3 linked regions of the Alligator mississippiensis genome follow. The protein of the gene in region 1 interacts with the protein of each later gene in a pairwise test. Links are inferred from orthologs where the notes say so. Each region holds a gene or a part of one and is shown in the gene's direction. Other genes may lie near its edges.

Evidence for each region. The genes of interacting proteins can lie anywhere in the genome.
Region 2: the proteins of C15H11orf68 (region 1) and EIF4H interact in binary tests that used the Homo sapiens proteins (3 or more experiments, as listed by UniProt). The two-hybrid records come from large-scale screens. The link is inferred for Alligator mississippiensis from reciprocal best matches to the Homo sapiens genes C11orf68 and EIF4H.
Region 3: the proteins of C15H11orf68 (region 1) and CSDE1 interact in a two-hybrid assay, tested with the Homo sapiens proteins (2 studies listed by BioGRID and IntAct). The link is inferred for Alligator mississippiensis from reciprocal best matches to the Homo sapiens genes C11orf68 and CSDE1.

What each region holds. Positions count from the first base shown.
Region 1 is NC_081838.1:4,275,368-4,282,304, reverse strand, and holds the start of C15H11orf68 (UPF0696 protein C11orf68 homolog), read left to right. Parts: upstream 1-3,929; 5' UTR 3,930-4,101; intron 4,102-4,329; 5' UTR 4,330-4,379; intron 4,380-4,787; 5' UTR 4,788-4,885; intron 4,886-5,570; 5' UTR 5,571-5,595; coding exon 5,596-6,321; 3' UTR 6,322-6,937. Other genes in the region: DRAP1 (dr1-associated corepressor), read right to left, coding at 131-216, 535-625, 1,215-1,340, 2,092-2,185, 2,354-2,426, 3,466-3,507.
Region 2 is NC_081837.1:13,864,433-13,872,342, reverse strand, and holds the start of EIF4H (eukaryotic translation initiation factor 4H), read left to right. Parts: upstream 1-4,895; 5' UTR 4,896-4,947; coding exon 4,948-5,006; intron 5,007-7,910. UniProt on the Homo sapiens protein: Stimulates the RNA helicase activity of EIF4A in the translation initiation complex. Binds weakly mRNA.
Region 3 is NC_081837.1:45,638,465-45,646,244, reverse strand, and holds the start of CSDE1 (cold shock domain-containing protein E1), read left to right. Parts: upstream 1-4,765; 5' UTR 4,766-5,374; coding exon 5,375-5,536; intron 5,537-7,780. UniProt on the Homo sapiens protein: RNA-binding protein involved in translationally coupled mRNA turnover.

The sequences.
Region 1 (6,937 bases):
GAGAGAACCCAGGCATCTGGGCATCCAACACCCCAGCCCCCCCCCAGCTGAAGAGACCCCAGGTATCCTGGCTCCCAGCGCCCGCCCCCGCATGCCACGCCTGGAGAGAATCCAGGCTCCGGGTCAGTACCTGGGGAACGTGGCGGGGGGGCGGCTGGGGGGCAGCGTCTGCAACGTCTCCTCCTCAGCGTCGCTCTCGCTGTCCTCCGAGTCCTCCTAGAGGGAGATAGGCAGATCACGGGGAGCCTGCCCCCCACCCCCCGGGCACACATCTGGAGGGGTGGCGCTCCCCAGAGCTGGGTGCTGGGGGCACCGAGGGCCAAGGCAGGGGAGGGGCTCATCCCCAGGGACGCAGCACAGGTGTGAGAGAGGTGTGGGGAACCCAGGTGTCTGGGAGCCCATCCCCCCAGCTCTCACCCCCCTCTCACAGCTGGAGTGAACCCCGGTGTCTGGGCTCTCAGGCTTGCCCCCTGGCTCCCACTGCCCTCATCCCGGTGCCCAGGAGTTTCCCCTGCCTGGCCACCCTCGCCTCACCTCTTGCTCCGAGTCAGTGCCCGACTGCTTAGGGTCCTTGCCCTTGGCCCCTGTCCCGCCGTTCTTCCTCCCGCTGCCCGGCTTCCGGCCCCTGCATAGACCCACCAGGCATCAGAGTCCCTTGCCGAGCCCCCCCCACAGGTTGAATCCCAGTAGGTGCAGTCAAATTGCAGCCACCTCTGGGGTGCAGCATGGCAGGTCTCAGAATTTGGGGCAATGGAGCCCCTGGTAGCCCAGATGAACCCCCCACCCAGGGTATTGGGGCCTAAAAGGAGAGAGCCCCCCTGCAGCACCCCCTACTGCCAGGGCATTGGCACCCAGTCTCCCATCCACAAAGTGATCCCAGCTGATCCTGCTTAGCTTCCAAGGGGTGTCAGGTGCTAGATGGGGAAAGTGTCCCCGAGCAGGGGCAGTGGTGGTCTCCCATCCACACACAGACCCTCTTCAACCCTGCTTAGCTTTCCAGGGGCAACAAGGGCTGGTGGAGCTAAAGCACCCCCTCCTCATTGGCTCCACCCCCACTAGCTCCACCCCTTACACCCAGCACCCCCTTCTGGCCCTGCCCCTCCAGAGCTGGCTCCACCCCTGCAGCCCAGCCTCTCCCACTAGCCCTGCCCCCCCAGACCTGGCTCCACCCCCTCACTACCCAGCACTCCCTGCTGGCCCTGCCCTGCACTGACCCCCACCTGCGGGAGACCCGCTCGCCCTCCATGTGGTTGTCCTCAGCGTCCCCCTGCATGTCGGGCACGGAGGCCACCAGGTCCTTGAGGAAGTCAAACTGCTGCTCCAGCTCGATGCACTGCTTCCTGCAGGGGGAGGGGCAGGGGGTCAGAGGGGGCAGGGCCAAGCCACAACCCACCCCTCCCCCCAACCCATCACATCCCCAAGGTCTCCCACAGCCCCCAGCAGGATACTTCCCCCTGCCAGGGAGATTCACAGCCCCTGCCAGGCCCCTCCAGCCCATGTTGATTGAAAGTGGGGAAACTGAGGCACAGAAGCCAGGTTGGGACTGTCCAGAGGGGACACGGTGAGGCAGGGGGAGAGCTCCCAGACCCCTCCCGCCCCTTGCTCTAATCCCTCAGCACAGCCATTCTCAGCCTTTTTTGTACCAGGACCCATTTCTACACTTCAGCGGCCAGCCCCAACCCGCTCCCCCACGCCCCGGCCCCCAGTGCGTGGGGCAGAGGGCCCAAGTAGCCCCTTGCAGGCTGGAGCTCTGCCCGCCTGCAAGGGAAGAGCCGCGGTGCCCACATTTATCTCCATTAAAGGAGAATTCACTTTCAAGTTTGTTCTTTCGTATGTTCTTGCGACCCACTTCTGGGTCGTAACCCCCAGATTGAGAAACGTTGCCCTGGAACCCACCCCTCCCCGAGCTGGAGGAAACCCAGGGATGCGGGCTCCCAGCCCCCCCGCTTTCACCCCCAGCCCACTCCCCTTCCAGAGCAGGGAGAGAGCCCAGATCCCTCCCACGCCTTGTTCTAATCCCCTAGACCCCAGTCCCCTCCTGGAGCGGGCAGATCACCCAGGTGCCCAGGGGACGGGACCCGGGGCACTCACAGGTGGGACGTGGTCATGGTCTTGGCGTTCCTGGACTGCGTCACTTGACAGGCCTTCCTGAGCAGCGACTCCAGGAACAGCTCCAGTGCCCGGGCTGTGGCAAGGCAGGGGTTAAGGGAGAGACCCCAGGTGTCCGGGCTCCAGCCCCTACTGCCCTCCCCGAGTCCAAGAGAAGCCAGGCATCCGCCCGGTCCCTCAGCCCCCGCTCCCCTCCCAGACCCTGAGAGAACCCAGGCAGGCGTCCAGGCGTTGCCAAGGATACAGATGATGACGGGGACAGCAGCCGCCACCTTCCCGATCTCCTCGTCCGTCTGCATGATCTTCTTGATCCGCGCCTGGGGGTGGGAACAGGTCAAGAGCTGGGGGGGCAGCCTGAGCTAGAGCCCCCCAGGATCAGGCCCAGATCAGGGCTATTTCTCCCCTCCTCCCACTCCCCTCCCAGAGCCGACAGAGGTCCCAGACATCCACGTGCCCGGCATCCCAGCTCTCCACCTTTTCGCATGGCCGAGCTGGGGATCAAACCCAGGCAGCCGGGCTCCTAGACTCCCCTGCTCTGATCCACTGGGCCCCACGCCCCCCCAGCACCGGGGGGCTCCCAGATGCCTCTACGCTACGCCCCCCACGGACCTCCTCTCCCCGTGCCCCCACCCCAGACTCAGCTGCAATCCCCCATGCCTCCTCTGCCCCCTCCCACAGCCGGAGACAACCCAGGTGTCCCGGCTCCCACCCCTCTCCCCCCAGCCCCCCCCCAGAGCCCCAGACAACCCAGGCGTCGGGCGCTGGACCCGGCCCTAGGAAGGAGTCCAGGCTGCCGGGCCCGAGCCTCCACGAGGAACCGGGGTGTCCGGCTGCCAAACCCCCAGTGTCGGGAAGGGACCCGGGCGCCAGGCCCTGGCCCCAGAAAGGGCCCCAGGCAGCTGGGTGCCGGGAAGGGGCCCAGGCATGCGGGCCAGGCCCTCGTCTTCAAAGGAGCCCAGGGGGCCGCGTACCCGCCCGGCCCCACAGATACCCCGGGGCCAGCCCCGGAGGAGGGAAGGGCCCGGGGGAGGCTGCGAGGTCCGAGGTCACAGGCCCTGGGGCGAGGGGGGCGAGGGCGGAAGGTCGGGGTCACAGGGAAGGGGGCCAGAGGGGCGCAGGCTCCGGGGGATGGGCGGGGCGGGGCGGGGCCGGCTAGGGCGGGGTCAGGGGTCACAGGCGGTTGGGGTCAGGGTGGCCGGGGGGGGGGGACGACCCGGAAAGGAACCGAGGCGTCCGGGGGGGGGCCCAGGGAGGGGCCCAGGCGCGACCACCCGGCGCCCGAGGGGCCCCGCCGTCCGGGCTGCAGCCCCCACCCGCCAGGATGGGGAAGGGCCCCAGGCGCCGGGCCAGGCTCACCGGCGGGAACCGCGCGTTGTATTTCTTCTTCTTGCTCGGCATCGCGGCCCGCTGCGCCCCGCGCCCGCCCGGTCCTAGCGCCGCCCGCCGGCCTGGCCCCGCCCCCTACCCCGCGCCCGCCCGGTCCTAGCGCCGCCCGCCCAGCCTGGCCCCGCCCCCTGCCCCGCGCCCTAGCACCGCCCATCCCAGCCTGGCCCCGCCCCCTGCCCCGCGCCCGCCCTGTCCCAACACTGCCTTCCCGGCTCGCCCCGCACCCGGCCTGGGGACGCCCCGCCCCTACCCCCACACCGGGCTCCCCCAGCCGCCAGGGAGGGCCCCGCCCCTAGTCTCGCTGACTCCGCCCCGCGCTGTCCAGGTACCTCCCGCAACCTTCGAGCCGGGCCCCGCCCCCGGAGGCCCCGCCCTTTCATTGCAGCCCCTCCCCTCCCCCTCCTCTCCCGGAAGTCCTCCCCTCCCGAGCAGCTCCTTTCCGCCTCTGTCCAGACGTAACTTCCTGCTTCACCCTCCGTGCACCTCCGTGTCGGCTTCTGCCATTTCCGGTTTCCCCCGTCCGACCCCCCCCGTTGCCTCCCCCCGGGCTCGGCCCCGCCCCCTCCCTCAAGATGGCGGCGGCCGCGGGCCGCTGAGAGGGGCCAGGTGAGGGCGGGGGCTCGTATTAGGGGAGGGGCTGGGGGGGCCTGGCACGGGGGCGGGGCAGCGACTGGGGGAGGGGGCCTGGCACATGGGGCTGGGGGGGCTCCTATGGGGGGGGGGGCTGGGGGCGCGGGGCCGGCTGATCATGGGGCTGGGGGGCACGTCGGGGGCACCTGGTGCTGGGCAGGGCCCCGTACTGGGCGGCCTCAACCTGCCTCCTCTCTCCCCCAGGGCAGCACCAGGCAGCAGCCCCCTGCCCCGGCTCCCTTCTTCTGCCGCAGGTAAGGCGGCCCCCGTGGCAGGGGCAGAACGGGTCCCTCCACGGCTGAGTGCCCTGGGGTGGAGGCAGCTGGGGGGAGCGGGTTGATTGCCCCGGGTGGGGGGGCAGAATCAGAAGCCGTTGGGGGTGGGAGGGCTTCTCCGCAGGGCAGGGGGTAAAAGAGCCCTCACCTTCCCGCTCCCTGAGCCCCAGCCCAGCCCAGCTCTCTGGGGCTACTTGCCGGGCAGAGAGCTGCCGGGCAGAGATGACCCGAGCAGGGTGCGGGGCCCTGCCCCTGCTTCGCTCCCGTGGGCCCCGGACCCAAAGAGGCTGGTGGGGTGCAGCGAGCGGCTGGACGCAGAGCTGCTGCTCCATGGGGGCCCCGAAATCATGGGGCCCAGGGCAGTTGCCTCTGTTCACCTCCCCCTAGGGACAGCCCTGCTGCTAGCCAATTAATAGCTCGGTTAATTGGCTTGTGGATTCCCCCGACCAACGCTAAACGTACAACCGAGGAGCTAGCCCTGTGCTGTAAGTTAATTAACCAGCCCCCTTCCCAATCGCAACTGATTAGCTGCCTGCACCCTAAATTAATTAACCATCCCCCTCCAATTGGAGCTGTTTAGCCTGCCCGCTTGTACTATCCTCGGGCTAATTAAGCAGCCTTCCCCTAACGGTAGCTCCCAAAACAGTCAGGCTCTTCAGTCAGCTTAGCCCACCCGCCTGTGCTGATTAGCTGCTCCTGTGCAAAGTTGAAGAGCCCCTTGATGGAGTGAATTAGCCCCAAACCTAGGGCAATTACTGAAAATAAACCCCTTTGACCAGGTAATTAGCCTGCCTGTCCTATGTGAAGCTGATGAGCCTTTCAACCTGCCAGTTAGCCCACCTGCACCATACCTGAATTAGCTTGCCCTCCCTAATTGAAACTAATTGGCCTGCCTGCCCCCTGCTTAAGGTAATTAGTTTGGCCCCTGCCAAACAAGGGAGCCTCTTCCTCAGAATTAATTAGTCTGCCTGCCTCTTACCTAAGCTAATTAGCCTGACCAGTGCAAAGCTAGAGCCCCTTTCTCAGAGCTAATTACCTTGCCCGCTCCTCACCCTAACAAGCTTGTCACTCCAAACTAATTAGCCCACCTGCCTCCCAGCCTTCCCATAAGGCAGCTGTGACACCTGACCTTTTCCCATACCTCCCCCCTACCTTCCCCCGCATTGGCAGGTGCCTGCTCCAGGACCCAGCAGCTATGTCAGACCAGGATGAGGGCGACGGGGGCCGGGATGGCCCCTTCTCAGCTGAGCAGCTGGCGGCCGAGTCAATGGCAGCCGACATGGACCCGTGGGTGGTGTTTGATGCCCGGCGCACCCCTCGGGCCGAGTTTGAGGCATGGCTGGCCACCTACCCGCCCTCCCGTGTGGCCCGCTATGGCCCACGGCCCGTGGGCTGGATTGCCGTGTATGGTCCCGGCTACAGTCCTGAGGCGGGTGACGTGGTGGGCTTGCAGGAGGCGTGGGAGCGGCTGCAGCTGAGCGGCCGCTCCGTGACCCACACCACAGTGCGGGAGCTGGCCCTCAACCACGGCGTGCTCACGGGCAAGTGGCTCATCCACCTGGACACAGGCTTCAAGGTGGACCACGCCTGGGCTGGTGTGGCCCGGGCCGTGCTGGACGGGCGCTTCACTGTGGCCAAGGTGAGCCCCTGCCACCCTGATGGTGAACGGCGCCACGTGGTGTGTGTCTACACGGATGACTTCACAGATGAGGAGCATGTGCTAGCTGCCGACGCTGCCATCCGGGCTGCTGGCGTCAAGTGCCCGCTGGCCTACAAGCCCGATGTCTACACCTACCTGGGCATCTACCGCGACAACCGCTGGCGCCTCTGCCCTACCATCTACGAGAGCCGCTTCGACCTGGAGTGCGTGCCCCGGCGCTCCCGCGTCCTCAACAAGGTTACCAATGCCGAGGTCACTTAAGCATTGTGGGGGGGCCCGGCCCCCCCCTTTGACTGTTCACCCCCCTGTCCCTGGACTGGAGTAATGGGGTGAGGCTCTGTGTCCCAGCATGCACTGCTCCTGTGGAGGGGGTGGGGGTCTTGTCCCCTTCTGCCTATCTTGGACTATCTGCCTCCCTGGACTGGAGCTGTGGGGCTGAGGTTATTTATCCCAGCATGCACTGCTTCTGTGTGGGGTGTAGGGTCTTGCCCCTCCCTTAGATTGTCTGCCCCCCTCACCTGAAGTGGGAGTGAGGCTACATGTCACAGCATGCACTGCTTGGGGGGGGGGGGGGTTTCTGGCCCTGCCTGGACTGGAGCAGTGTGTCCCACCATGCATTGCTCCTGTGGGGTCTGATTCCCCTGAATTGGAGCTGTGCGGCTGAGGTCCTGTATCCCAGTATTACACTGCTTCCTTAGGTGAGGAGGGGCTAGTAGGCATGCCCCCATGCACAGGCTGGGCTGGGGCTGGGGTGGAGACTACAAGTCCCAGCATGCACTACTTCCCTGGCTCAGGGCCTGCTGGGAAGTGTGGTCCAGGAGCTCTGGCAGCTTAACTCTCTCATGGCCCTGTACTGGAGGGGCTCTGCCCCCCACTT
Region 2 (7,910 bases), on another chromosome or scaffold:
ACGAGGGGGTGGGTGAGCTGCAGGTCCAGGGGCAAGCAAGACCGGGGAAAACAATTATTAAGCAAGCTTTCGGGTTCAAAAAGGCTTCATCAGGCTAAGGAAGTTTCGGCAGGCGGTGTGCTCTATACGACTATCATTGATCGAGTACAACATTCTGGGTTATTTTTGGTGAAAATAAGGTATCGGGCTTAGGTTCAGGAGCAAATCCCCCATTTACGATATTGTTTCCTATGGGAAAATCGGTTCCGAGTTACGTTTCGATTTAAGACACGGTTTTCAGGAACCAATTGCGTCGTAAGTCTGAGGACTGCCTGTAGTTTGAGAAGGGTCACCAAAATGATTTACAGCGGGATAACTTAAAAATGGGTGCAGCGGTATTGGTACCAGTTTATTCTCCACCTAGAACAGTGACCCACCAAGATAAGGTGCCTTTAAAGTCAATTAATTACATCTGCCCTTGAGGGAAGGCAGCCCAGTCTGCCATAAAGCAATGACATGAACGACGCGTGCCCCCGGAGGCTGGGGGGCACAGGGACCGCCTGCAGGCGGTGTTGGCAGCCGGGCAGGCCGAGTGGGGAGCTCCCAGAGGTGGCCACGGCGGTGTCGGGGGCTAGGCAAGCGCTGGCTGGCAGTCGGCAACCATCTGCAGACACTGCTGGTGGTGTTGGCAGCAAGGGGGGCCGTGGCAAGGAGCGAGTGGCAGTGCTTTTCATAGGGAGTGCACCGCCGATCTGAGGAGGTACACGTGCACCCGCGTGCACCCCCTACATGTCGCCAATAAGCAATGATGTGGGGTAGACTCTTTAGAAAAAAAAAATTATTTATGGGTGCGCCAATAGAGATTTGGGGGGCCAATACCGATAGCCAATTTTTAAGGAGGCTTATCAGCAGATACCAATCCAATTTCCGATACAGCTGCATGCAGCTGGTAAATCTGTTGTGGTGGATGGGGAGGGGCGGGGGGCAGATCAAGGTCCCCCATGGTGAGGGAGGGAGTGGGGCTGGGGCAGGTGCTGCCCAGCTAGGGTAGGGCAGGTGTGGGATGGGGGGCATGGGGGCTCCCGTTGTTGTGTGCACCCTGGGAGGGCATGGGGTGTGCGTGTGCCCCACAGATCTGCATGGGGCAGGGCAGGCTGCAGCTGTGGGCTGGGGCTGCACCAGGCTCTTCCCAGTGGGGGCTGCAGTAGGTGGCTGCCACGGTGCTGGGAGGGGCTATGGTGAAATTTGGGGTGGCTGCAGCCCCCCCACGTAAGCCCCCTCCCAGTGCTGTCACCCCCACCTCCCCAAGCACAGCCTGGCCCAGCCCCAGGGGGAAGAGCCCAGCACAGAGCCAGTCCACAGCTGCAGCCCTCCCTGCCTGCACCCTGCACAGACTTGATGGCACACCACCCGTGCCCTTCTGGGCACACGCCCCCCCCCATTGGTGGGGCACAGCAGTGGGAGCTGCCCCCCCTCTGTCCTGCACCCCACCCTGCCCCGGCTGGGCAATGTGTGCCCCAGCCCCACTCCCTCCCTCGTTGTGGGCCCCCCAGCCCCTTCCCTCCCCTCTCCCCTTCCACCACAACAGAATTACCAGCTGCACACAGCTCTCCATGTTGCTGGGCTGTGCTCCTCGCTGCCTGCATCTGTGCGCATGCACAGGCATTTATCTGCCCAATTATCAGAGACATCAGGCTGATTCCCGATACAGTTCATTTTCTTTTTATTGGTGCCGATCCAATATTTATCGGTGCACCTCTAATATTTAATTTTTCTGGAGTTGTTTTGTCTTATTTTCCCAAAAACTGGGGAGTGACCAAGATTTTGAAGACTGAAAGTGCGTAACCTGGACTCTCAAATGGCAGCTGGATATAGATGCTCATAGATTCAGAAATTGTAAGGGGCCAGAAGGGACCTTGGAAGATCATCAGGTCCAGTCCCCTGCACCAGAAAGGAAAGACAACTGGGGTCTGGTGACTGGGGTCAGTCTCCTCTTGAAGATCTCCAGAGTAGGTGATTGCACTACCTGTGGAGGGAGCTTATTCCAGTCTGCACATCCTGACTGTGAAGACGTTTTCCCCTAATGTTGAGTCTGAAATGGTCTTCCAGGAGTTTGTGGCCATTACTCCTGGTTTACCCCAAGGGTGCCCTGGTGAACAGTTGTTCACGGAGCCTTTGATGTACTCCCCTAATGTAGTGTGGTAAGCTACCAGGTCCCCTCTGAGCCTTCTCTTTTTCAGGCTTGAGTCCCAGGTCCCTCAGCCTTTCCTCATATGTCTTGCCTTGAAAGTCTCTGATCATATGGATGGCCCTTCTCTGGACTCTCTCAAGCTTTTCCATATCCTTGTTCAAGTGCACTGCCCAGTACTGGACGCAGTACTCCAGCTGCGGTCTCACCAATGCCAAGCAGAGTGATAGAATCACCTCCTTGACTTGGTTTCATCTATGAACTTGGACCCACATCCAAATCATTGATGAAGATGTTGAAAAGCACTGGACCAAGCATGGACCCCTGAAGAATGTCGCTGACCACTTCTTGCCAGGACAACTCAGGACAGTTCATTAGGACTCTTTGAGGCTTACCCCGCAGCCAATTTCCTACCCACCTGACCATCTTGGAGTTAAGCCCACAATCCTCCCATTTTCTCATGAAGACATCATGGGATACCAGACCAAAGGCTTTTTGGAAGTCAAGGTATACAATGTCATATGGAAAAGCTTCCCTCAAAAAACAAAATCTTTTGCATTGTGACAGCTTAGTATTGTCTGGGATGGGACACTAGGCCTATTGACACAGTCAGATGGGGGAAAATCAATAAGTTGTAGTTCTCTATAATAAAACCCTAAACCACGGTCCAGTAGAAAAAACAAATCAATAATGCAAATGACACACTTTGGAATATATTAGGAAACCCTTACTACAGTCAGTCCATTATCTTCCTGCCCACAGCACCATTAAAAAGAAAAAAAAAGTGATCTTTATTAACGACAGAGGAAGCTCATAGAGTAAGAAGAACCACCAATAAATGTGTGGCATTGGTTGCTTTTCCTTTTAAAATATCACTTTATCTCAGGTCAGTTGCAGTTATCTAAAGAAGAGAGAGCAGCAATGGGGTCTGCTGTATGAAAGAACCACTTTTGATCACCTTACTAATAATTGCTAGGCTATCTGTGATGAACTTAAAAGAGATGCTGACAGAATGCAAATAATATTTTAAGACCAGCTAGCTAAAAGTACATTATTTTTAAACGAAATATCCTGATTGTGCATTGCTTCTGATTTTGCAAGTATCCTGATCTACCTCTGACAGATTATTAAAACTGAAATCACACGCAGCACTTAGGGCTTAGCTTTTACCATTTAAGCCCTGGCATTGTTTTCAGCATTTCGCTGAGTTTCAATTGCGCATTTTTTCAAATCGTTTTCCCGTTCCCACATACAGGGCACAGCACTGCCATGCTTTTCTTGCAGACAGCGCAGGAGCTTGTTTGCATCCAGTACTTTCACTGACATCTTTTGTTAAAAGAGACTAAACCACATTAATCTGAAATCAAGAAGGCAGAGTTGATTTGCACTTTGTAGGCTAACCAGATATATATCTAACCAGATACAGACTAAGGAAAAGCTTGGGCTAGATAGCTGGGTACACACACACCTATGAATTGAGCTTCGGCTCTGGAAATTTGTGCTAAACACATACGCTGTCATTTGATTAATATATGTATATGTATGCATACACATGTACGTGTGTTTTTATGCATCTCTCTCTCTTTGGCCAGTCTGTAAGGTACAAATGCCTTCGACATTTTTTAAGAAGAGCCAAAGACAGTGCTGCGAACACACAGGCTGTAAAACTGGGTTTTATTCCCCTTGGAAACCCCTAATCACCCTGAGCCTGGTCTAGCTAGACCAGTCCTTTAGCACAGCGGGTCTCAACCTTGTTTGTACCAGGACCCACCATGGAAACATCCACGGCCAGTCCAGACCCAGTGAATAATTTAGGTAGAAAACACATGGGGCATGGGGGTGTGTTTGGGGCACAAAGGTGTGGGGGGGGCACAGGGAGGGGCAAGGGTGTGCGTGGGGGGGTATTAGGGAGTGTGGGAAATGGGGGGTATGTGTGGGGCACAGAGTGGGAGGGTGTGCGGGGCATGGGGGGGGTGCGCAGTGCATGGGGGGCCATGGGGGTGTATGTGAAGGTCATGGGGGGCTATATGGGGGAGGGCCAAGGGGTGGGGGGAAGGGGGACACACAGGGGTGTACATGTGGGGCACATGGGGCGTGGGGGACATGGGGGTGTGCAAGGCATGGGGGCACCAGGGAGTGTGGGGGGATGTGCAGGGCATGGGGTGGTGTGGGGGGCATGGGGGACACAGGGTGTGTGGAGGCATAGGGGTGTCAGGGGGACATGGGGATATATGTGTGGGACACAGGGGTGTGTGGGGGGGACTTAGGGACCGTATGGGGGCCACTAGGGTGTAGGGGGGACGGGGAGAGGGGGTGCAGGACACGGGTGTGACACACGGAGGGGGAGACCCGCCAGGCCGCAAGGTAAGAGCCGCTTCCCCCCTTTTTCCTCCTTGAGAGGAGAGCCCGCTCTCCCCTGCCTCTCGTCCCTTCGCCGCACTGCCGGGCCCGAGCCGCGGTGCTGTGGCGGGGCCCGGGGCCCCCGCGCTGGGCTGGGCTGGGCTGATCCGTGGGGCCCGGCGGCGGGCGGCCCGGACCCTTGTGACGCGCGGAGGCCCCGCGCCGCGCTGTGACGCTCCATGGCGCCGCCGGGCCCGACCCACGTGGTGGTGGGGGCGGCGCGCCGGCTCAGGCATCGCGCGGGGCAGCCCCGGGAGGCGGGCGGCGACGGCGCAGGCAGTGCGGCGGGCAGCCCCGCGCTGGCCCCCTATATAAGCGGCGCGGGGGCCTGCGGGCGCGGCCCTGTCACGCTCGCGCGGGAGGCGGCGGCTGAGGTGGCGATGGCGGACTTCGATGCCTACGACGATCGGGCCTACAGCAGCTTCGGCGGCGGCCGCGGGTGAGCGCGGGCCGGGCTGGGGTCGGGGGCCGCGCGCGGCGGTTCCTGCCGGTCCCCGGGGAGCCCGGGCCTAGCGCCGGGCGGGGCGGGCAGAAAGGCGGGTTGGAGCCGGGCCGCAGCGCAGGGGGAGCCGGCCCCTCCGCGCCGTCGGGTGGCGGGAGCGCCTGGGCGGTGGAAGCAGCCTTTGGTCTGAGCGGGGCCCCGGCGGAGAAGAGCATTGTGTGGCCGTGCCCACCGGGGCGGTGGGGCTGCAGGTCTGGTCGCCCCTGCCCCGAGGCAGCATCCTCCCTAACCAAACCCGCCCGCACAAGTCCTTGCTCAAGCACCCGGATCCAAACCGGCTGCGGATGGAAGACTCCCCCGTTAATTAAATGCTCTGCGTGGGACGCCTGCTACGTTTGCTCTCACTTTTCACGTATAGGATCTAATTCTTGCTGGGACGAGGTTATTCTTTCCCCATGTTGAATGGGGGACGGATGGACACGGACCTTCATCTTGGCTTCGGGTTAATGTGGTGTTACTAAAACCAGAAATTCGAGTAACGGTGGTGTTACTACTGCCCTCGCCTTGGATTCGAGTAACACCCTCATCTTAGACTCAAGTAAAGGTGGTGTTACTAAAACCCTTCTCTTGGACTTGAGTAAAGGTGATGTTACTAAAACCCTCCTTGGATTTGAGTAAATGCCAGGTTATTAAAACTATACCGTTGAACCTGTCTCTCAGCTGCAAGGCACAGTTAAAACACCACAGGTTCAAGCAGGGTGACAAGGGCAGTTGGTGTCCTGCTGCTGCAACAATTGTTAAAATAGGCTGTGTTTTAAAATAGGAACAAATTTGAAAATAGCTTGAAAGAATAGAATTTTTAAAATTAATTCCAGCAACTCTGGATGTTGTAGAGCAGCGGCGAAGGCGCTTGGTGAACAAAAATTTCTGTGAAAAGCTCAAGACATAACAATTTAAGTTAACCTAGCGTTAATGTGTTTTTTTCCCCTCAAATATTCCCAACAGCTGCCGTGTTCCCAACGCTTTGGCCCTTGACTCATTAGGTACTGAGTGTAAGTTGCATTGAAGGAGCTGTACTTTGCACGTCTGTAGAGCGTGTGGCTTGTACAGTACAGAGCCATGTTCGTGTGGGTCTGTGCAGACAAGCCAGGGGTCTGTCCTGAGGTAGTATTAAAATACAGGTCAGCTTTAATAAACTAAGGGCTGCAGTGGAGGCAGTGTATCTTTCAAGCAAAGGGCAGATTTTACTTTTTGTTTTGGTCATTATTAAAGTAGAAAATAATCAGGGAGATTCAGTAAGTATCTAGTAGGCAACCATCAATACTCTGGGTCACGGTGAGTGTGTAAAAGGTCTAGTCGGGTGCCTGATGAGTCTGCTTGTATGGAGTCCTGTGACCATCACACCAAGGTCATGGATGCTTGTGCCTAGGCAAGAGCGCAGAGGAGGGGAGGCTGCCGAAGACCTGTGTGGCCCCCCCCCCCCCCCCCCCCCCCCCCCCCCCCCCGTTCAAAAGCCAGAGCGAGTCCAGACGTTCAGCGCCTCAATGGTTGTAGTTCAGGGCTGGGCAATTATTTTGGGTGGAGGGCTGCTTACTGAGCTTTAGCAAGCCATCGAGGACCGCATGACAGGCAGCCAGGGGCAGATTAATATTCCCTAAATTTTTTAGGGGGCCCACGGGCCAGATAGAATGTCCTGGCAGGCTGCATCTGGCCCACGGGCTGCATTTTACTGTTGTAGCTTGTTGCAGAGAACAGCAGGTAAGAACTGCTGCTGACTGCCAAATGCCTCAGCAAGGGTGCGTTTCTGTCAGGGTGATGTCCCTTAGCCTTTCTCCAACCAAGGAGTTACCCACAAGGCGATGGGGGCTAGGGTTTTGAGGTGCCCTATGCTCGCCTTACTCTGGAGGTTGCAACACTGTGGTTTTTTTAATAGGAGCTGCCCTGCCGTGCATTGCCCTGTCACGTTTTCCCCCAGCCCTCCAGTTAGATGGGACTTACAGTCCTACCCAGGACCGTAGTATCTAGGACACCAACTAATATCTATAGGTGAAGGAATATGTTCCCTTTGATTTTATTTTTCTTTTTCATAGAAACAAATACTTAATTGGAATGTAGTTAAACCTTATGCTTGACGCTTCTGAATTAATGCCATTTTCTTAAATTCTAAAGTTATTTCTTCCTTTACCGTGTCCATTTCAGGAATTAGCTCTGATTGGAGGATGAATGTAGCATGATCCATTGAGACTTTACCAAAACAGAAGCTATTATGTTAATTTAAGTCATAACACTTTGACCAATGGAAACTGTTTGCACTGTGTCAAATAGAAATACGTATGGAAACTGGTTTGATTTTCAAGCACAGATTAAAATGTAACATTGTTTACCATCTCAGATATTTGCCTTTCACTTCCACTTATCATTGTCTGTTGTGCTGATTAGTATCGTTTCACTGTTTGCTTATTCTTCCAAATGCTTATGACAGACAGGCATTGTCATTTATCTAAAATATCTGGGGCAGCACCCAACTGTACAGTACCTAGCTAGACTCTGGCTTGTAACTGGGAGTCCCGGTGCTGCAACAGCACAAGTAATAAATGCAACACCTTTTGCTACATAACAATGGCGTGGCAGTCTAATGCATTCCTGTAGTTCAAACCAGCTATCTCCTTAAGTCAGAGTCAGTGCTTCCTTTAGTTTGAGGAAGGTAGCCAGGAGTAGGAGTGTTGCTGCTTTCCCTTGAAGTGGTTTTTACTTTATTTGCATAATTGACCCATACAGGGTGAAACAGGTGAATAAAGTAGCCTGTTGAACTTGCATGACCTGTTGTTACGATCTAAAAATCATACAGAAGTCAAGCCTAAGAAATTCACTTGTCAAAACCTGTCAGGGATATCAGAAAAG
Region 3 (7,780 bases), on another chromosome or scaffold:
GAGGTCTAAAATCATGCTTGGACTGCATTTCCCAGAATCGCTTCCTAAATGCCTTCATAATTTGGCAGGTGTTTTGGTCAGCGGTTACAACAAGCTGGATAAAGTGCAGAGCTGACACACGCATGTGTGTGCATATATGAAATGTGAACAGAAGTAACCTGTTCCTGATCAAGTATTAACACAGTGGAGTAAGAGGTCTTACCTATAATAAAACTAATGTTAAAAACATTTTTTCTTAGAAGGGGGAAAAAAACCTGCCTTGTTTTCTGGCGCAGTCATGCGCAGAAAAGGAGACTTATTTTGCTCATCTGTTTTAATGGCACAGAAAATATGAGGGGAATTATTTTTTGTTATATTTGGAAGGCTTTATTTAGAGCTATAAAGGCTGAAAACAGTGAGTGATTCAGCACTGTGGAGCTGTTTCTAGTGCTCAGGGTTAAGGGGGTGAAGGGTACCACACGCACCCATATTTTCTTCCTGACTTGAGTGTGCTGAGTACTACTAAAGATGGCTTGTGGAGAAAAATACATGCGCTTCTCCCCCCCACCCCTTTAAATTTTCCCTCACTTTATCCAGAAATTATGAAGAGGGATCCTGGGCTTTGGTTGCTGCCTAGATTCTCCCTGTAGTGGGGCCTGGACTCAGTCTGCATTTGGAGCTCTCATGACAGTACAAAAGATGGCTTTGCCTCTCTCCCTGCTGATTGTGTCATTAGGCTGGGGGTCCAGCGGAGGTCTGACCTGCAGAGAGGTCCTCTGCTGCTGCTGCATCATTTGCTAGCCCTCTCCTGTCGCCTTGGCAACACAGCTGTGATACAGCTATGGGTTCAGGCGAGCAGAGCCTTTCCCTTCATCGAGATGAGTTCACATCAATAAACTAGTCAGTGTTACACAGGGAACTCTCCCAGGTGGGAAGAGGAGGGTACTAATTTCTCTGGAGTAGCTGTCCATTTCAAGCCTTTCAGAGAAATGGAGGGTGATGCTGCAAAAATTACTCCTAGCACAGGCTGAGCGAGTCTCCTTTGCCAGCCAAGTGTCTGGGGATTATGGGAATTCACTGTTTGGTTTCTGTTTTTTTTTTCCTGCTGGTGAACTGAGAATGGGTGAACAGGATATACTCCCGTTTTAAGTAGCTTAGAGAAATGCCCGAATTTTACTTGAAGAAAAACTCTTTCTACTGTTCCTTCAGACTTTGACATAACCTTATGTATTGGGTATTGATTTCTGTTTGTCTCCTGGGAAATGCAGAACTGTACTAGGATGTCAACCAGAACTACATACAGCATAGTAGAAAAAGGAATTTTTGGTACCACCCTGTACCTGACTGGTCTGTTATGTCTACAGTGATGCTCTAGTTCAAGGTTTTGTTCTCTCCCTGCTGCTGTGTAGAAGACCCTTTGCTACATGCATGGAGGCTTGTTGATTTAACTGATAATGAATACACTTAAAATGCTGTCAAATAAGCATCATAAATCAGAGGAAGAGATTCAGATTTGTATTAAATTGTGCCCATCATTCACCTGATACTGATCAAAGCAAGGTTGCTGTTTTGTTGTTACGTATAAATAAAAACCGGGAGCTTTCTTGGAAAGGCTTACTGGATCTGAAGAGACCGTCATGTGTTGGAAACATTTCTTTTCCACCTTGGTTGGAGGTGGATCCTCTGGGGAATCCAAGACCAAAACCAGGAATACTAGAGTACATCTGTAAAAGTAAATTATCTTTCCCGACATGGAACAAACCTGCGGCATTAAGGTAGTGGCAAAGTATCTGGTTGTAGGAACTCTTGGGGACAGTCAGTGATACGTCTTCTTTCAAAGTTGTGCTTAAAATGTGTTTCTTTTTCTTCTCCAGTATGAAGTGTAACAGAACAGAATTTACCACCTGAAACTGCTGCTTCAAGTTCAGATCAGGAAAGGAACCTACATCGTAACAACAACATAAGACCAAAGAAGAGTAAACTTACACTGAAGACACAACACTTGATCTGAAACAAGAAGTTTGTGCCTACTCAACAGCTTCAAAAAAAAAGCACGTCCCAACGCTGCTAATAGTCCTTGTTTTCTCCAGTGCTGTGCTGAAACTGCCCAGTACAGCAGCCGTTGTATTCTTTATTAGCTTGATAGATCAATTTCTCTCGCTAGTTTTTTTTGTTTTGTTTTTTTTTATTGTAACTATCTTCATCCTTTGAAACGTGCGCTGAAACAGAAGAATCAGCAAATACTACTGAAAGTGCAATATTTGAATATCACTGCGAGGTTGGTGCATGTACTATCCATAAATAGCTACAAATTCTTCCAAAACATGTGACTGTTTGGCATTAAATACCTCAGTAGCAGTTTTTAAAATTAAATTCTGCTTTTGCATAGGTTAGTCCTGGTTTCAGATGTATGAAGGTAGAATTTATGGCTCCAAATTCCATTATACTTGCATTTTTTTAAAATACTTGTGGGATCTGTGTAGATTGCTTTCCATTATTAGCCATATATCAGCAGTCACATGTGACAATCTTGTGAATACAGACATTTCCCAAAGTGTCTGTTTTCTTCAGCTGTCTTTTGATATAAAGCAGAATGAACTGATATATCTGGATCCCTCGGGGCAGGTGTGGGAGGAATCTTTTTTTTAAATGGTGATAGTGCAGGATTTTGGAATTCTATTCAGTAAGGTGACAGGCTAGATTTGAGAGAGGTCTGCCACTGGTAGTGAACATTTTAAGATAAATAGCAACCATGAGTCCAGTCCAGCCAAAAGCATCTGGCTTGTGTTGCACAAATCAACCCAAATGTAACTTTTATGGACTAGTGCAACCGTTCCGGGGTCTTTGATCTGGCCTCTAACGGAATCTGTCTAAAGGGTAGCTTTTGTGCTGAGACTGTACAAGTAACGTATGTAAAGTGATAGGTTGTCTTTGTTTAGTTCAGTTGAGTTTATTCGTGCAGTATCATAAAATGAAGTTGGGATTGCTGAACAGATATGGCAAACAGGAAAGAAGATGGAGTTTTCTATACCATATTCTACCCCATTTCCTATGTTAGTATCAACTTAGGCAATGCATCTCCAGTTTGAACAAAGTGATCATCTTTTGGCTAGTCATTAAATTATTTTGTACTCTTGTAGCACTCCTTTTAAAATCAAACCCCAATTAACTCAATTGACCTAATGCAGCAACCTCTTCTGAGCTAGAAAAATGACAGCAAGATGTTTACCTGGTTGGCTTTGGTTATTCTGAACTACATAACTCCTGTCAATACAATTGCAGTAGTTTCATTAGTGATGGCTATCTCTGATACAGAAATCTCTCTGACAGGTAAATTTATGAAGTGGGAAGGGCTAATTTTGTTGACACAATGTGAGGACTGTGGGGGGGACAGAGTGCTCTTAGCAGAGAAGGTGACTGTCCTCTCAGGACCTCTTTCAGAATGAGTTAGTGGCTTGACCTCTGCTGTCACTGGGTGAGTTTCACTTTGAAATCCATTTTGTTTCCCTCTCTTAGACATCCCATCTCCTCGCTGGCTGTTTGCAGGATACAGGTTTCTTTTTTGGTCTCTGCACATGTTAAAGACAGCCAGTGGGAGGGTGCGTACAAGTGTAGATGCTCCTTTTGAAGGGCGGAGAGAGCAGGGACCTAAGTTCTGGGTTGGTTTATGCTGGTAGTGCATCGTTTCAGGGTGGTGCCACGTGTTCAGTGTAACACTGAGTAAGTGCTGTTAAAACAACAAGAGGCAATTCAAGCAGCTTAGTGTGTTAAATACCCTCATGAAGCTGTAGATTTGTTTCTTTTTAGGCTTACTGCATTCCAGTGATTTGCAGCTGTTGCAGAGAACATGCCACATCACCCTAAGCTGAACCTGTGAGGAGAACACAAAGGTGTTTGAGCATTTCTAGTCCAGACAGATGCTGGCATTACGAATTTTGCATTTGAGTAGACTTCCAAATTCATAGCTTATACTAACATTTTTGCTAGAAATTCTTTGGGTATTCTCTAAAGATTTATAATTCTTAGTACCTGATACTTTTTCCCAAATGCTGTGGGAACGCATCAAGCGTTTAGATAAATTTAAACATGATATGATTTGTTCGGGGCATCATTTGATAAGGTAGTCTTAATAGTGATAAAATAGGAACAGCGTATATAGAGCTAAGATTAAGCGGTTAGGCAGTTACTTATACCTGTACATTATGGCTTACAATAATATAATCAGAACAATGTGGTGTTCTAACTTGTACTCTAGCTTTGTGCAAGAGGACATCATTCTATAGCATGCTTCCTGGCTTTCTAACAATGTGGTGAATGCGTTGGCAGCAAGATTAAGTTCCTAAACTAGGGCTGTTAGTGAAGTTGCTGAGTACAGTATACCAAGTGGAGAATAGTTGTCACACCAGTTAACAGCAGGGTGCAGTTCTAGGAATTGCACAGAGGATCAAATTGGGTAAGCTGTTGAATACCTGCAACTTTTTTTTGTTTTCGGTTGTTGGGAGTTGCGGGCATGTAGTAGCCCTCAGGATTTGACCTCATCTGTTCTGCTGTTCCAGTCTAAGGGAATTTTCTGTAACAAGCAGGAAGATGAATAGAGATAAAAGCAAAACTTTCCTCAAGACGTGGGTTATCTCAGTTGTGCCTGGTCTTCTGATTCTTAAGTATGACTGCTTGTTAGCAGGCATGCTAGTATACTGCTAAGTATCTGGACTCTGAAGAAACACTCTGGTGATGGGGAAGTTAGTTGTTGAGTGTCATGTGTTTTCCCCCCCCCCCCCCAAAATGTAGGATTAGCTTTTTTCTTTTTTTGGATTTATGGCTCCCACAGCCTTACCAGGGCCTGTTTGAGCTGTTGGTTCAATTTGAGGGATGTACCACTGCTTCCTTTGAAATAACCCTGTTTTGTTCACGGTTTCATATCATGCAAGAGAAAGGAAGATAGTAGAATATCACCAGTTGTACTCCTGCTGGAAAACAGACTGTGATGGAAAGGACTGCATGGCTTAGCAGGTTTTTAGCAGTGCTGTTACAATTGCAGCTGAACTGAATAGCACGTGTGTAATGTTGTAGCAACTGTGTTTTGTTTCATGCATAATACCTCCAATGGGTGTCTTGTCTTTGTGACTACTGGCTTTCTGCATGGCCTGGCCATACCTTTACTACTTTGAGCCACACTGCAAGTGGGAAGTGAGGAAGAAGAGAACTAGAAATGGCCTCCACACTCTTGTCCTTGAAAACGTTGCAGAAATCTGTGAAGACCAGTGGCATGTTGATCTAGTAGTCCAATGTAAAGCTCTAATTAGTGTAACCTCTTAAAGGACCTGGACTTGATTAGCAGTGACTTGGATGTATTTTTAAAGTTGTGCCAAATATTGACTAGTTATAACATTATACTATGTTATCACAGCTGTGTGAGATGGAGAACCATTATACTGTGTCATCAGATCCTCTCCCCCCTCCTGCAGCTCCCCCACCTTCTCTTCCTTTATCTTTCTCCTCATCTTCTACCTCATCTGGGTCTAAAAAACAGAAGAGGACCCCCCTGTATCAGAGATCTGTAAGTCAGGGTAGCAGTCTATGCACCTGTGTGTTTCAGAAGCATGGGGGATCTTGGGAACTGTCTGTCTTGAACACATGTTCTCACTTTCTAACGCTTCTAATACCAAATGCTTTCAACAAGTAAAAGAATCCAGTTCCTTCTAAGCCAATTGGAAAGCTTAGGGGTATTTATTTCAGAGATGTTATCACTCAAGCATTAATATTCCCCACTCTTCTCAACTGCCATGTGTGCAACTGCCTCTTATTCCCTATGTGCTCTCAGGGCCGTGTGTTATTGATTTATAGGCCAAGCAAGTATAACCTAAAGGAGGGTAGGAAAACAGCACCCTGTGGTTCCCGTTGTCACCCACTGCAAGTTTCTTCCAAAAGAAAACAGATCTGTAACATGCTTCCAGGTGACATCCTCTAGGGAAGCTGCAAATGTGGACCTTTTGGGGCTGTCAATTGTCCCTTCTCTTGTGGCACCATGCAGAGCACTGTTGTGATTTCTCAAAGAGCAGTGCTCGGCCATTGCAAGTGTGTGGCTGTTGCCCTGGGTTTAATGTTAATTCTGCTTAACAGTGTATATACTTGTTGGAGCATTCACAGCCAGTTGTGTTGTGCCCCTCAAGTTCAGTAACATCACTCTTGTTGGTATGCAGTGTAATACGAATGGTTTCTAACAGCGTACTTTAGTGAATTAAAATGACTTTTTTGTTTTGCAGTATCCAAGCTTGCTATTTTTAAGCTGTTCCAAAACTTTCCAACTCTAGTAAATGTGTGGAGTTAACTAATTGTGAATTCTTCTGCTTGAAGTTATAACAAACCTAGAATATAGATACCTGATAACACAAAGGGAAGCCTTGGTCCGTGTCCTAAATAGATGCGTTGGGAACTGCAGTGCCTGAAAACATTCATTGTAGTGTTCAAAATGCGTGTCGAGCGCAACTTGTCTTGATTGTGCTATTTGGAGAAATCAGTGTTACAGTTCTTGTAGCACATTTTCAGGCTGTTTGTCAGTACTAACTAGTAACTAGTGTTAGTTTTAAAGGATATATAACAAATTTCCATTTTAAAGTAGCAAAACCTGGATGTTGGAACCTTTGCAATACATTTTCTATTAACATTTTATAAACCTAAGCAAGCAGTGTTTGAAGAGTGCTGGTTAACCCTTTATTAATACATTTTAGAAGGAAGTGCATGTAAGATGTCTTGGGGATGAAATGTTGAAGAGTGGTTGGATTCATTTTTACTAACTTAAATCAAGCTCTTTTATAGAGTTGCCAGCTCCTGCATGTCACAGGATATCTAGATGTTTTCATGTGTGTGTTATTTATACCACAAAATTTTAGCTACACCTGGATTCTTAAAAGGCCGCTTTATGTCCTCTTAAAACATAAGCCTGGAGACTAGTTCAGCATGGGAATAATTTTAATACTGTGAAGGCTTAATTTTTTTTTAACAGTTGTATTACCTTAACTGGTGAAAGCAGATTAAATTTAAGAAGGATGGTAATTCTGTGTTAAAGCTGACAAATGTAAAAGAGTAAGTGGGGAATATTTTCATGGAGGGCACTGCATAGAGCATTTATCAAGCAACCTGATGTTTTAGGGTATCTTTAAAATAAAACTTGTTTGTGTTAAGTCAAAGATTTAGTTTTATGTCATCAATACAGCCTATTTTTATCTGTTTAAATCTATTGGTCTTCCAAATGTGAAGTTAATTGTCTCAAAGCTAAACTATTTTAGAGGGTGTCCCCCCCCCCCCCGTTCTGAAGAACTGGCAGAAAATCCTATTTACTTGTTGCCCATGTCTAACATACAGGCTGTTTGTGTCAGATTTACCATATTTACTTGTACACCACATATCTTCCCCCCCTCCCCCCCCCCGAATCAGCCCTCCCAATTGGGGTGTACATTTTTAACTGGGAGGCTGATGTCTGTGCTGGAATAAAAAGCACAGGGATGCTGTAACTGCTGCTAGAGCTCTGCTATTTTCTATGGCTGTAGAGAGGGAGGAGGTAAAAGAGCGCACTCTGCAGCATCATAGTTTTAACCTTTTCATGGCTTCTGCTTAATTAGCAGTAGCTTTTGCCCAAGCAGCCAAAAATGGCTGCTGCTAACGTGCCTGGCTACGACTGAGCTAAAACTGTAGCTTTTGCCTGAGTAGCTATAAACAGGATTCAGCCGTGACTGGAAAAATATTGTATTCCTTTTATTCTGCCTTTCCAAAACAAGGTCTGTTGGTCTCTGAGAACATGCTG